Linked DNA regions of Ovis aries. The protein of the gene in region 4 interacts with the protein of the main gene of each other region in a pairwise test. Links are inferred from orthologs where the notes say so. Each region holds a gene or a part of one and is shown on either strand. Other genes may lie near its edges. The genes, in order: KCTD6, DES, KCTD9 and EHHADH.

Region 1 (4,188 bases), on a different chromosome or scaffold from region 4:
AGGAAAACACAAACTCAAGAATTTAGGAAAGCCTTAAAAAAAAACTGGTAACAATTTTCTACATTAGCAAATGTGAAAAACACACAATTCAATAAGTGAATGACTTAAAGAATAACGTAAGAACCCCTGAAACTCATTTTCCTCACCACAGCAGAACTCAATTACAGGCTTTGTGGTTATGATGAACTAATGAAACACACATATTCTGGGCTTATCATTTCTGCTACAGACTAAGAATTCTCTGGAATAAAACTCCTGCTCCTATCCTATATAATAACTTATACACTGCAATACACACCTCCAAACTTGAATAAATAATAAACACATAACTATTTCCTTCCCTAAGTTTCCAGGTAGCCCTTTTAAAACGCCTTTCTACTGAAATCTTTGTAGCTGGCATTCAGAAGAGACAACTCAACAAATTCCATCTATACATACCTTCAAAATCACCTTTGTGCTGAATTTCTCTGTTCTTGAAATGTGGGAGCTTTTCAAAGTGAAATACTTTTTATAGTAACTAGTTCATCAACTAAAGGAGTCTTTGGGGTTAACATTCACATACAGGCTGGTTTAAGTAGCCAGGCACAGAAGGAGAATGTGATTATGGTGTTAGGTTACGCTTGACCATAACCAATACACAAACAGACCGTTTCATCCAAAACCTAATCCTTTTTTCTCTCTGCCCTCTCCATGTGGTCTACAAAAAAGGCGCTCTAGGTTGAAAAGTGACTTTTCCTACTGAAGAGCTACCACAAATAGTCACAAAACCATACCATCCCTCTTACCTTAATTTCTGTAAGATAAAACAGAATAATACCACATTCCCAAAAGGAACAGTACCACTTAAGCACAACACAGAGGCAACACCTGGCCTACAGGGTGACAGATGGGGGCCTGGGGTTTGAGGTCATAGACAGGTCAGAGCAGGAGAGAGAAAAGGCCACAGGTGAGGATCCTTAAGCCAGCTTGGCTTCATGACTAATTATAAGACCCAGAGTAAATCACTCTGTATTGCCCACCTGCTTCTTGGAGAAAAAATAAGTGAGATCATGAATCGAAAATTTATGGGTAAACTGGCAAATGTGAAACACTACTGGCAGTAGCATCCTTACAATTTCTGTGGCGAACTGAGAAACCGGAGTGTGGACACAAGTAATTCAGAGCGTGGGCATGGAGACCGGGCAAGTATGGAAGAGGAGGGCACTTAATGTGCTTCCAGTCTCCCTCATCCCGTCCTCCTTTTCCTGGAGCCCCACAAGGGAGAACCACAGGTAAGGTGGAGCATCTGGCTTTCACAGAGACCACCAGACGTCTGACCTCTTCATCACAGAAGGAAGGAACTCTAAAGCATGACTCGGGATTATGTCCAAGGTAAAGCCAAATCCAAATGAGTATTTGGATTCCATTTTCAATAGACTCCAAATATCACAATCCAAGACACGTTCAGTGATTCACAGATTCACTCTAAAATTTCTTCATGTAGTAATGCTTTAAACTGTGACAAATTAAAATTTAAATGACATGAACCTTAGAAACAGCATCTATGGTGGTCCTCACCACTCAATTCTTAATATTTATGATGTTATGCAAAATGAAGTACTAGTATGGTCTGATCAAAGAGCAAGTTGTCTCAACCTACCAACCATGCAGGTTAAAAAAGAGATTTTCCTTTTCCTAGCTACACATCTGTTTGTTCGAAAACATCTCAGTCCTGGGCTCAGTCCTGTGCTAAACGCTGTCCCCTCGCTTCTTTCCTCTCTTGGAATCGTTCATATACTCAGGCGTTTGTGAGAGCAAAGAAAATGCACATACCAAGGGGAAACGGTAAGACACGCTTAGGCTACCCCAAACGCTCTTGGCCAAACCAAGTTACCTCAGGTCTCGGGGCACTCAAACCTCTTCTATCACAAAGCCCTAAAATTGGAAGTAGCCAACTTGTTCCAGAACTGGTATAGTTGCAGAAACATGATAACTTCAGCACAATATCCAAAAAGGATCTCTGCTTCGTTTCTGGAGTCCCACCCCTCAGACAGCCTCCACCACTGACAGCCCAGCCCGGCAGGTGCTTCAGGGGCTCCTCACCACCACGGCCATTTATCACCTCTGACGTCCAGCATTAAGAATGCCCTGGGCACACACAAATCTGGGCATTAAGAACTCAGCTGCGGTCAATCCCTCTTTGGGGCAGAAAAATCCCCTAAGGCAGGGTTCAGAAGTCCTGCCGGGGGCTTTAAAATAAGGAAAACTGTAGCCAATAAGCACCACCCACAATCAATCATCTTCCAGCAAACCTTGAGGTGCTCCCGTCCCGGCTTCACTGCTGCCCACGGGCAGAGTCCCCCACCCCGACCCGGGCCCCGGGCGTGGGACGGGAGACACTTGGGGCCCGGGCATGGGGCGCGCACCCGAGCCCTAAACCCGGGTCCGCCGAACCCGCAAGTCCCAGCGGGGCAGGCCCCGGATCCTCCGCCCAAGGCCGGCCTCTGGTCGCGGGCAGCCCGCGGCGGGTTCGTGCCAGCCCCGGAGCGCGCCGCCTGGACTCCCCGAGGTCCCCTGAGCGCGGCCCCGCCACCGCCCGGGTTCCCCTCAACCCCGCTGCCGGGCCGCTCCGCGCGGTCTTCTGCTAGAGCCCAGCCCTCCCGAGCCCCGGGCCTCCGCGTCGTGGGCCCGCCCCTACTCACTGCGCTGCGGCGGCGGTGGCTGCCGGGCCGGGAGACGCCGGCGGCCGGAGAGCGCGAGCGCGAGGACGAGCGAGCCCGCGCCCGGTGGCGGCGGCGGCGGCGGCGGCAGAAGGGACGACTGAGCCCGCGCCCGGAGTTGCGGCTCCTGCCGCCCGGAGCGGGCGGCGCCTTTCCAGCGGAGACACGGCGCCACAGGCGCGGGCGCCCCCTAACGGCGTCGCGGGCTAGTGACCGAAGGGCCGAGCGGCCGGAGAAACTCAAACCAGGCGTAGCCTGGGCGGCTCCTTCAGGCTGGCTCCGCGGCAGCCCTGAAGCCCCGCCCCGACGCCCGATCCCGCCCCCGAGGCTCGGGCCCCAGACCCACGCGCTCCGCCCAGAATTCGCCCGACATCCCGCCTCCGCCCGCACTGGGGGATCTGCCCAGCCCCCGGCACTTTTCGCTAGGGCTCAAACCTAGTTTCTCCGGTCATTTTACGAATACTTAAGGGATCCCAACCAAGTGCCAGGCCTGACGAGTAAAGCGGTCACCAAGAAGGAGGGGCTTCCTAATGAAAGGAGAAACATTAAAGACCCAAGTAAACAGCCGACAAAAAAATGACTACAAAAAAAAGTTATGATTATAAAATGTTGGGAGGTACATGAATTCGATGGAGAATAAGCGGAGGGGGCCTCTGCTGCAGATACGGTGACTATACAAGATCTGGACTCTGGAACTGTGGTCCCAGGACTCCTGGCCTTACCCTCTGTGGGATTGATACGGTCACCTCTCCAGTCTGTGGGCGGAGTAGGGAAAGACAGCCAGATGGAGAGAAGGGCAGCAGAGAAAACGACCAGTGCAAAGGCTCTGAGGACTGAAGGAGCCAGCCCTAGAGGAAGCTGGCACCAATACTGTCCTCATTTCACCACGAAGGAAGCCAAGGCTGCAAGAGTGGGAATTACCTAAAGTCTGAGCTAATTGGTTTCCAAACATAGATTCCTTCCAAACAGAACTCACTTCTGGCTAACCAAATCCCCATCCCTTTCCAGGTGGGATCAGGTACAGGGATTTTGCCATTTCTCCTTCACAATAAGCAAAAGAGTTCAGAGAAACGTCTATTTCTGCTTTATTGACTATGCCAAAGTCTTTGTTTGACTGTGTGGATCACAATAAACTGTGGAACATTCTGAAAGAGATGGGAATACCAGACCACCTGACCTGCCTCTTGAGAAATCTGTATGCAGGTCAGGAAGCAACAGTTAGAACTGGACATGGAACAAACTGGTTCCAAATAGGAAAAGGAGTACAGCAAGGCTGTATATTGTCAACCCTGCTTATTTAACTTATATGCAGAGTACATCATCCCAGAGAAGGAAATGACAACCCACTCCAGTATTCTTGCCTGGAGAATCCCAGGGACAGAAGAGCCTGGTGGGCTGCCATCTGTGGGGTCGCACAGAGTCGGACACAACTGGAGCGACCTAGCAGCAGCTCCAGAGTACATGAGAAATGCTGGGCTGGATGAAGCAC
Region 2 (2,349 bases), on a different chromosome or scaffold from region 4:
CCAAACTCATAACACCAAGGACCTAAATTTGACCCTTCCAATAAAACTCAGAATGGCTCTCTTCGGTTAGCAGTTTATGCAGATACCAAGTGTGAGCCTTGCATTTAAAATCACTTAATGGTTTTTCAAGTCAGTAGTTCTGGGCCATGACAGGGCAAGTACTGCTGTTACCGTTCATTTCACAGTGGGGAAACTGAGGCATGGAGGGACAAGTGACTGGCCATCTGCACAATAAATCAGTGACTGATTCCTGTCCATCTCTCTTTCATTAAGACATCAAGTTGTTCATCCGGAGTCAAAAGGGGCTGGGTACCATGAGATCCTTCAAAAGAGTGCCTTGGTTCTGGGCTCTAGGGTCCTCACTGTCAGGGTTCAAATTCCTGCAGGGATCTTCTGGGGACCAGGGGTGGAGGGGGAGTGAGGAGGGGTGTCGGTGAGGGGGCGGGAATGCTGGGTGGCCTGGGGCCTAGGTGATCCCTCACCCTCTTGAACCTGCCAACACCTGGAGCACACCTGTTGGCTCGTCTTAGCTCAGCCCTGGGCAGCCCCTTGGGTCTGCAGAGCCACCTACTGGGTGCTGGGCACAAGGAAGATGTTTTGCTGAAAAAGTAACAGGCCCATATTGAGGGGGTGGGTGTCTTCTGGGCTTTGCCCAGTGAGACCAGGGAAGGACTCCCAGCCACAGGAACAGCCAGGCCTGGCCTTGGTCAGGCTGAGCGTGTGGATGAATCTGTTACAGAAACAAGCCCTGAGCAGAGGGGTTCTGAGGTCCATACCAAGAAGACGGTGATGATCAAGACCATCGAGACTCGGGACGGGGAGGTGAGTGGTCTGCCTGGAACCCTTACCCCTGAGGTTGGGGGGGGCTGTCAGCCAGGTGTCTTCTACCAGCCGTGCTGGTTCTGCCTGGGGGCAGAAGGGTCTGCCATGCTGGGGAGGAGGTGTCCCGGGGTCATGACTCCATTCTCCGGCCAGCCCTGGGTTAGACTGGGTTTCTCTTCCTCTCTAGGTCGTCAGTGAGGCCACACAGCAGCAGCATGAGGTGCTCTAAAGCCAGAGACCTCTCTGCCGCCAGAGACCGTGCTCACCTCTGTCCTCACTGCCTCCTAAAGCCAGCCTCCCTCCATCCCAGGGCACCACCCCCAGCCACAGTGCTCCGCTCACAGCCTCTGACCCCTGCTCACTGCGACCACCTGTCCTGGTCCCCACAGGGGACCTGGCCCAACCCTCCCGGGCACAGGGAGCCCCTGTCGTGTGAGGTCTGGATGTTGAAGTGAGGGGGCCTGGCCCTGGGCCGCCCTTGGAATGTGCTGGGCAGGGCCAGGCTGGAGCCAAGACATGGCAGTGACCTTACCCTTCCCACCTCCGTGACTTCAGGCTCTAGCATATGGCTTTGGAGGGGACTCCAGAGCAGGACGTAGGAACCCCTCAGGGTCAGGTCAAGCCCTGTGGACCTCCCCATTACCCCCTCCCCGGCCTGAGTCAGAAAGGCAGCATCCTCGGCAAGCCATGCAGATAACTGGGGACATAGCCCCCACCCCCGTGGAGACTGGGGGGCTCGAGACTGACCCCATGGTCCCTTACTTTCCCGAGGTGGGCTTACAAGGCAGGGGCTGCAAGAGAGAACCCCCGAAGGTGCCAGATGTGGGAGCAGGAGATGCAGAAAGAGAGAGGGTGGGCGAGATGCTGGAGAGAAGAGGAGAGAGGAGAGAGCGGTCTCAGGCAGGTGGCAGGGGGGCTCACCTCCCCGTGCCTGCCCCTTCCCCGCTGCAGGGGCTCTGAACAGAAAGAAACAATAAAAAAGATAAGCACAAGCCTAGCACGGCCCCTGCTGTTTTGACTGCCAGGTCTTCTCTGAGAGAGCCCTGTCACACTACCTCTTTTTTTTTTTTTTTTCTTTTTTTAATATTTTTGGGCCACATAACACAACATGCGAGATCTTAGTTACCTGACCAGGGATTGAACCTGTGCCCTTGCAAGGGAAGCATGGAGTCCTAACCACTAGACCACCAGGAAATTCCTTGTATCGCTTCTTGAGGTGAACTGTGTGCTGCCTTCCTACCCAGCCAGACTGTCCCCCAGGGCCTGCCACCCCTTCTGTTCCCAGAGCCTCGCAGCCTGGCTGTATGTGTGTAGCATATGGGGGAGGGGGCTTTTGCTGGGGACTCACACATACCTCTTGTTATGCCCCATTACCAGGACTGCCCCCACGCACTGCTCTGAAGTAGGGCTCCTGTGGTCCTTGCCTAAGGTAGCTTACACCCTCTTTGCACTAAACCTGGATCTTCGAAGCTCCAAGGCCAATTCAGGAAAAATGACCTTGTTAAGAAAAACAGAAAGCTCTATCTC
Region 3 (2,360 bases), on a different chromosome or scaffold from region 4:
TCCAGGCCTCTCATCTGACGCTCTGTGACATGTGTAGTGGCGTCAGCATCTCTTCAAAGATGGCGCCCTTCACGTTGGAACCCCTCAGGTTGGCTTCTTGAAGGTCACACCCAGACAGGTCACAATTCTGCAGGACACAAACAGAATTCATGGAACTAACAGATTAAAGGGCTTATTTGTTCCTTCTTAAAATGGTTCCTGGGGCATATCAGGAAAAGGTTCCTATAGAATAAAACTCAGTTATTTCTGGAAAACTTTCATAAGTTTTAGGAGAAAGCCATATTTTCTTCTATCTGTATTTTTTCTCTCTAGTTGATGCTTACTCAGGGTGACCACCACAAATTATATATAAACAAAGGTCAATGATGAAGCATGTCCCTTTTGAATTTTAAGCATTTAAAATCCAGAATGTATATAAACAATTTTATGGGCTTCCCTGGGAATATGGGGCTTGAATGGAAGCAGCTCCACTGACAAACTCATAGGGTCTGAGCATCAGAAACTGATTTCTGGGACCTGAGATAATCTTTATTCTTTTTCTAAAAATTTATATTGGAGTCTAGTTGATTTTGGAGAAGGAAATGGCAACCCACTCCAGTATTCTTGCCTGGAAAATCCCATGGACAGATCAGCCTGGCAGACTTACAGTCCATGGGGTCACAAAAGTCAGATGACTTAGTGACTAAAACACACATAGCTGACATACCATGTTGTGTTAGTTTCAGGTATACAGCCAAGTGATTTAGTTAAACATCTCTTTGGGGCTTCCCAGGTGGCGCTAGTGGTCAAGAACCTGCCTGCAAATGCAGGAGATGTGAGTTGGATCCCTGGGTCTGGGAAGATCCCCTGGAGGAGGGCATGGCAACTCACTCCAGTATTCTTGCCTGGAGAATCTGATGGACAGAGGAGCCTGGTGGGCTACAGTCCATGGCATCGCAAGAGAGTCAGACACGACTGAGTGACTTAATGGTTTTACCACAATCCATGAACAATAATGAAAGGCATGGGGGTGAGGAAGACTCAGATTTTTAAACAGAGAAAGGGATTTTACTTAATAATTAAATTGTATCATGTAACTGCCTAACATTAACATTCTTAGAGTAAGGAATTGCTTTTAACCCCCCAATTATGTATACAATTCAGTGAGTTTTAACAGATCTATATACAGCAGTGTAACCACCACGACTGGTAGCTGCTTTCAAATTTCCCTTGAGATCACAGAGTGACAGATGGGACAGGGATTCTGGCTAAGTCCCTGGGGATGATGGTTAGAGAAAAGGGTGACTGCACATAACCTTTATAGGATAGAGGGTTAGCAGCTGCCCCAATAGTCATCCTGATTAGTCTTTGCAATCAGATAAAGGGAGGCTTTCTACTGTTTAAATAAAGAACTCATGTGTAGTCACATGCTAACTGAAACAAAGGAAAAAGATCCTCATCTTAGGTGACAGTAACAATATTTTAAAAGTTAAATAACTGTACTTATAATAGGTTTATACCTTCAGTCAAGCTGGTTCTTTTTGCCTTCAGGTTCAACGGGGCCTGCTACTATGCTGCTAAGAGCTATCAAGAGAACAAGGTGAATTCAGATGAAAGATCTAGATGTTGGCTATGATATAGGATCACCTAATTAAGGATCGTATTTTAGACCTTAGGACTGAATAAGACTGCATAGGAAGGAAGTATAGAGTGAAAGAAGGATAGACAAAAACACAGAAACAGTACTCTTAGTATAACAAAAAAAGAGCAAGATGAAAACATTTTTAAAAAATCAACAAGCTAAATGTTAACATACTATTCTCTAGAATCCAATCTATGCCAGATTTTCTTGTATAGGTCTGTATTGTTCAATACAATACTCTTAGTCACATATAGCAGTTTACATTTAAATGAATTTTAATTAAACACAATTTACAAATCCATCCCTCGGTTGCTCTGGCTCAACAGCCAGATGTGGCTGGTAGGTGCTGGACTGAATAGCACAGCCACAGGACATGCCCATTGTTGCCGAAAGAGCTGTCAGTGATACACCCCCATTAACAGCTGTGCGGTCTGCCAGCTCAATCTGCAACTCAAGATGATATATACCAGACAATTCTGATGAAAAAGATGACTGGCTGCACAGAATCAAAGTCTCAGGCTGAGATTCAAAAAAGAATATGATGCCAATTTAGAACAGGCTTTCCCTGAACCTGATTTCAAACATTTCAATTTCTCAACAAGTTTAAGAAATAATCTGACCCCATTTAATTGTTTGGAATTCAAATTTAAGAAAAGCACAATCAAGTGGATTAAAAAAGCATATATCAAATGTTATCTACCTGAGGGAGATCCAAGGAAAAGAGGAGAAATCAGCTCAG
Region 4 (4,358 bases):
AAACTTTGCTTTCAGTTACATATTTGTATGTGTGTTTGTGTGTGCGTGTCCTAGGTTGCTATGTAAAACATGGATTACTGTGTAGAATATAATTAAAAATTATATAAAAGCCATTGTTTTGGGAGACAAATCTAGTAATTAGGCATCTCCTACATTTATAAAGAGGGTTGGCATTTATCCAAATAGAAATCTCGCTTAGCTAAAGGAACAAAGAAAGATTTGAACTGTTTGGGCCAAAATATATTCAAATAATCTCTCACTTATCTAAGAAGAAATAGTTACCCAAATAAAATTAGAAATAGGAAGGAGGAAAGGAAGGGGAGATGAAAAGCGTAAAGCAAAAAGAGAGAAAAAAAGGGGGGGGGGACCTGTTAAACTGGATGAGCGTGCTAGGACACATACCTTCACCTAAGTACAAGTTTAAGAGGAAAGCGCAAAAAAGTGTTTATCGCCAAATGGAGAAAATCCTGATGCAGCTGCAATGAATCCTGAGCAGCAGGGCCTGTTGGTAGGGGCTTGTAACAGGCCTTTTGCCTAATAAAAATAATGATAGCTGGTGGTGCAGTGGTAAAGAATTCGCCTGCCAATGAAAGAGATGCAAAAGACGCGGCTGAGTTGGAAAGATCCCCTGGAGTAGGAAATGGCAACCCACTCCAGTATTCTTGCCTGGAAAATCCCATGGACAGAAGAGCCTGGTAGTCTGCAGTGCCTGGGGTCAAAAAGTCAGACACAACTAAGCGCGCACACACACACAACATCTAAGTGTCAGTTTCTAATCGGCAACACATTTAAACCTCACAACTTAATGAGGTAGGTACTAAAATTTCTTCTGCAACGGGGAAAGGGAACAGGTTAAATACCAGACACATTTTAAGTAGTTATGGGAAAATATTCCTAGTTATAGGTACTAAACTGTAGAACCATTTTCCCCAAAGTTAGAGATGGGCACAGTTATCCATTATGAGAGATTAAGGCAGAGTCCTAATACTTAGTAATTTTAATTGAAATACAAAGTTCAAAATTGATATGTAATTGTAGTACTCCTGTTTTTCTTCATCAAAACCGAAATAACAATATTTTGCTTTATTCCGAGTGGCAAGTAAGTGGACTTATTCTTTGTGTGATTTTATTTCTGAAAATTTTTATATTATTAAATGCAAAATTTTATATTAAAATAAAAGTTATAATATTAATGCTAATGATAAAACCAAATCTGCTGACAGGACAAAAATTCAGTTAAAATTAGCATGTCTTCTCATTTCAGTCTCTTTTTGCTCCAGCAGCATGCAGTAAGGATTCTGACCAAAAGTCGTTCTCTTTATGCTTTATATGTTCTCTGTAAATGATCATTTCCCTACTCCCTGTGGACGAGTGGTTTTTTCCCCAGGTTGATCACTATACTTTTTTCAGAGATATAAAAGAACCAGGTGGTGCTAGTGGTGAAAACCTCCCTGCCAATGCAAGAGGCATAAGAGTTCAATCCCTGGGTGGTAAAGATCCCCTGGAGGAGGGCATGACAACTCACTCCAGTATTCTTGCCTGGAGGATCCCATGGACAGAGGAGCCTAGGGGCACACAGTCCATAGGGGCACACAGACTCATACACGGCTAAAGTGACTTAGCACAAACCTATATATCATTAATTTTCAAAATAGCAGCATTAATCTCACTTTTTAAAGTAATGCTTTTACTAGTTTAACAAGAAAAGTACTCCACGATAAAAGAACATAAACGGCACAGCAGTTTTTCAGGAAATGCTATTTAATAGGCTAATTCTGACATGAGCTTATTCTAACATGGATCTTCACCAAAGCACTAAGACCTTGAAGTTTAGAACAAACCAAGAGATACATCTTTGTGTTTCTGGGCCAGGACATAATTCTCTTTTACTCAATATATTGGCATTAATGGGGATCTTTATTTTTAACAGTGTGAAGCCACCTTATTTTTGGACTCCCAAAGCTTTTAGTCACACATTGTAAGGGTGGCCTGGACTCCAGGTTGGGAAGGGAGGGATCAAGGTCCAGGCAGCACAGCACTAAGACCTCTGGACTAGAAAGTACATCTGAGAAGTCAAAGTTGCAAGTAAGCAGAAGAGTGCAGCACGAAGTTGGCACGGACAGAGGCACTAAGACCTCTGGACTAGAAAGTACATCTGAGAAGTCAAAGTTGCAAGTAAGCAGAAGAGTGCAGCACGAAGTTGGCACGGACAGAGGCACAAAGACCTCTGGACTAGAAAGTACATCTGAGAAGTCAAAGTTGCAAGTAAACAGGAGTTCAGCACGAAGTTGGCACGGACAGACCGGTTCGGGCGCAGCTCCCCAATTTCTAGCTGTCTTCCTCTCAGCCTCGGTTTCTTTATCAGCGAAACGGAGATGAGAGGTCTCTGCAAACAGGTACCGAGGCTACCAATGTAAAGTGAAAGTGAAGTCGCTCAGTCGTGTCCGACTCTTTGCGACCCCATGGACTGTAGCCTATCAGGCTCCTCCGTCCATGGGATTTTCCAGGCAAGAGTGCTGGAGTGGATTGCCATTTCCTTCTCCAGGGGATCTTCCCGACCCAGGAATCGAACCCGAGTCTCCCGCATTGCAGGCAGACGCTTTATCGTCTGGGAAACCACAACGTAAAAGGTCCTGGCATTTGCCCTGATTCTATCCGTGTCAGTGTCTTTCTCCGTTTAAACCAGCAGGGGGAAGTCAAAGCCTCCACTTGAGGCAGGCAGGTACGCCCCTGCTCGCCCTCCCCAGACTGATCGCCGAGAGCCCGTTACCTGATCGCATTGACTGGCGGGTTTCGTAGACGGATCAGTGCCAGGCTGTTCTGCAGCCGCGTGAACTCAGCCATGTTTGCTCAGTTGCCCCAAAGTCGCCTCACCCCTCAGCTGAGAGGCAAGATCACTTTCGCTGGGCGCGTCCTGGGGAGAGGAGGGGCGTCTGCTGGGCCAATGTGAACCCGGCACCGCCTCCGGCCCCAGCACCGCTTCCCGCCCCGGGACGCTCCCGGGCTCTGATGCCCATCCTCCATCTCAGTCCTCCTCCTTCCCTGACCGCAGCCCCGTGCTCAGCACACCCTTGCCGTCTCTTCCTCTTTGCTGGCCCCTGTCCTGCTCCCATCACAAAGTAGGTCAGGCAGGAAGTTGGAAGATGCGTGAAATTGCCAGTAAGTCCAGATTTGCAAACCCCTGGCCCAGAGGGGCTGGCTTCCCTGGACAAGTTCTAGATGCACTAAGTTGGTGCAGCTTCATCACAGTCTTCATTATCCTTCTTAACAAAGACAGATATGTGGGATCCTGACAATTATATGATATGACACATACCTGGAACATATAAAACACTTCATGCATTTCATCTAAATGAGTAAGGTACTAATATCAACCAAACATGTACAGAACTGTCATGCAGCAACCTTGTGGAACATACCACTTTCTTGTCTGTTCAATCCTTCCAGTTTTTTTTTTTTCCTTCTTCTGGCATTCCTAAGGATTATTTCTAAGATTAATACTTCAACTATGAATCGAGCAACTATTATGTCCTAGGCAGCAGGCCAAAGACTAAAGATAAATGAGGCTGGGTTCAGAATGGGACAAAGTTTTTGAAGATGCAGTTGGCCTCAGGTGGTCTCCACAGCCCATCAACTGGCCAGAAGGCAGTCTGGAAGTTTCAGAGGAAAAACAAAACAATGGAGTGGTTTTATTCACTGACGTTTCACAAATTTCAGCAACGAGGCTGGATGGCATCACTGTCTCGATGGACGTGAATCTGAGTGAACTCCGGGTGATGGACAGGGAGGCCTGGCGTGCTGTGATTCATGGGGTCACAAAGAGTCGGACACGACTGAACGACTGAACTGAACTGAACTGAAGGATTATTTTCACAGACATTCTTTTCAGTTCAGTTGCTCAGTCATGTCCGACTCCTTGCAGCCCCATGGACTGCAGCATGCCAGGACTCCCTGTTCATCACCAACTCCTTGAGCTTGCTCAAATTCATGTCCATTGAGTCAGTGATGCCATCCAACCATCTCATTCTCTGTTGTCCCCTTCTCTTCCTGCCTTCAATCTTTCCCAGCATCAGGGTCTTTTCCAAGGAGTCAGTTCTTCACATCAGGTGGTCAAAGTATTGGAGTTTCAGCTTCAGCATCAGTCTTTCCAATGAATGTTCAGGACTGATTTCATTTAGGATTGACTGGTGTGATCTCCTTGCAGTCTAAGGGACTCTCAAGAGTCTTCTCCAACACCACAGTTCAAAAACATCAATTCTTCGGTACTCAGCCTTCTTTATAGTCCAACTCTCACCTCCATACATGACTACTGGAAAAACCATAGCTTTGACCAGATGGACCTTTGCTGTCTAGGTTGG

The links.
Region 1: the proteins of EHHADH (region 4) and KCTD6 interact in binary tests that used the Homo sapiens proteins (3 or more experiments, as listed by UniProt). The two-hybrid records come from large-scale screens. The link is inferred for Ovis aries from reciprocal best matches to the Homo sapiens genes EHHADH and KCTD6.
Region 2: the proteins of EHHADH (region 4) and DES interact in binary tests that used the Homo sapiens proteins (3 or more experiments, as listed by UniProt). The two-hybrid records come from large-scale screens. The link is inferred for Ovis aries from reciprocal best matches to the Homo sapiens genes EHHADH and DES.
Region 3: the proteins of EHHADH (region 4) and KCTD9 interact in binary tests that used the Homo sapiens proteins (3 or more experiments, as listed by UniProt). The two-hybrid records come from large-scale screens. The link is inferred for Ovis aries from reciprocal best matches to the Homo sapiens genes EHHADH and KCTD9.

What each region holds. Positions count from the first base shown.
Region 1 is NC_056072.1:42,983,620-42,987,807, forward strand, and holds the start of KCTD6 (BTB/POZ domain-containing protein KCTD6), read right to left. Parts: upstream 2,867-4,188; 5' UTR 2,682-2,866; exon of another isoform or gene 439-2,681; intron 1-438. UniProt on the Homo sapiens protein: Probable substrate-specific adapter of a BCR (BTB-CUL3-RBX1) E3 ubiquitin-protein ligase complex mediating the ubiquitination and subsequent proteasomal degradation of target proteins.
Region 2 is NC_056055.1:221,350,415-221,352,763, forward strand, and holds the end of DES (desmin), read left to right. Parts: intron 1-739; coding exon 740-822; intron 823-1,009; coding exon 1,010-1,051; 3' UTR 1,052-1,819; downstream 1,820-2,349. UniProt on the Homo sapiens protein: Muscle-specific type III intermediate filament essential for proper muscular structure and function.
Region 3 is NC_056055.1:40,204,685-40,207,044, reverse strand, and holds part of KCTD9 (BTB/POZ domain-containing protein KCTD9), read right to left. Parts: coding exon of another isoform or gene 2,352-2,360; exon of another isoform or gene 128-2,351; coding exon 11-127; 3' UTR 1-10. UniProt on the Homo sapiens protein: Substrate-specific adapter of a BCR (BTB-CUL3-RBX1) E3 ubiquitin-protein ligase complex, which mediates the ubiquitination of target proteins, leading to their degradation by the proteasome.
Region 4 is NC_056054.1:202,653,315-202,657,672, reverse strand, and holds the start of EHHADH (peroxisomal bifunctional enzyme), read right to left. Parts: upstream 2,868-4,358; 5' UTR 2,845-2,867; coding exon 2,771-2,844; intron 1-2,770. UniProt on the Homo sapiens protein: Peroxisomal trifunctional enzyme possessing 2-enoyl-CoA hydratase, 3-hydroxyacyl-CoA dehydrogenase, and delta 3, delta 2-enoyl-CoA isomerase activities. Catalyzes two of the four reactions of the long chain fatty acids peroxisomal beta-oxidation pathway.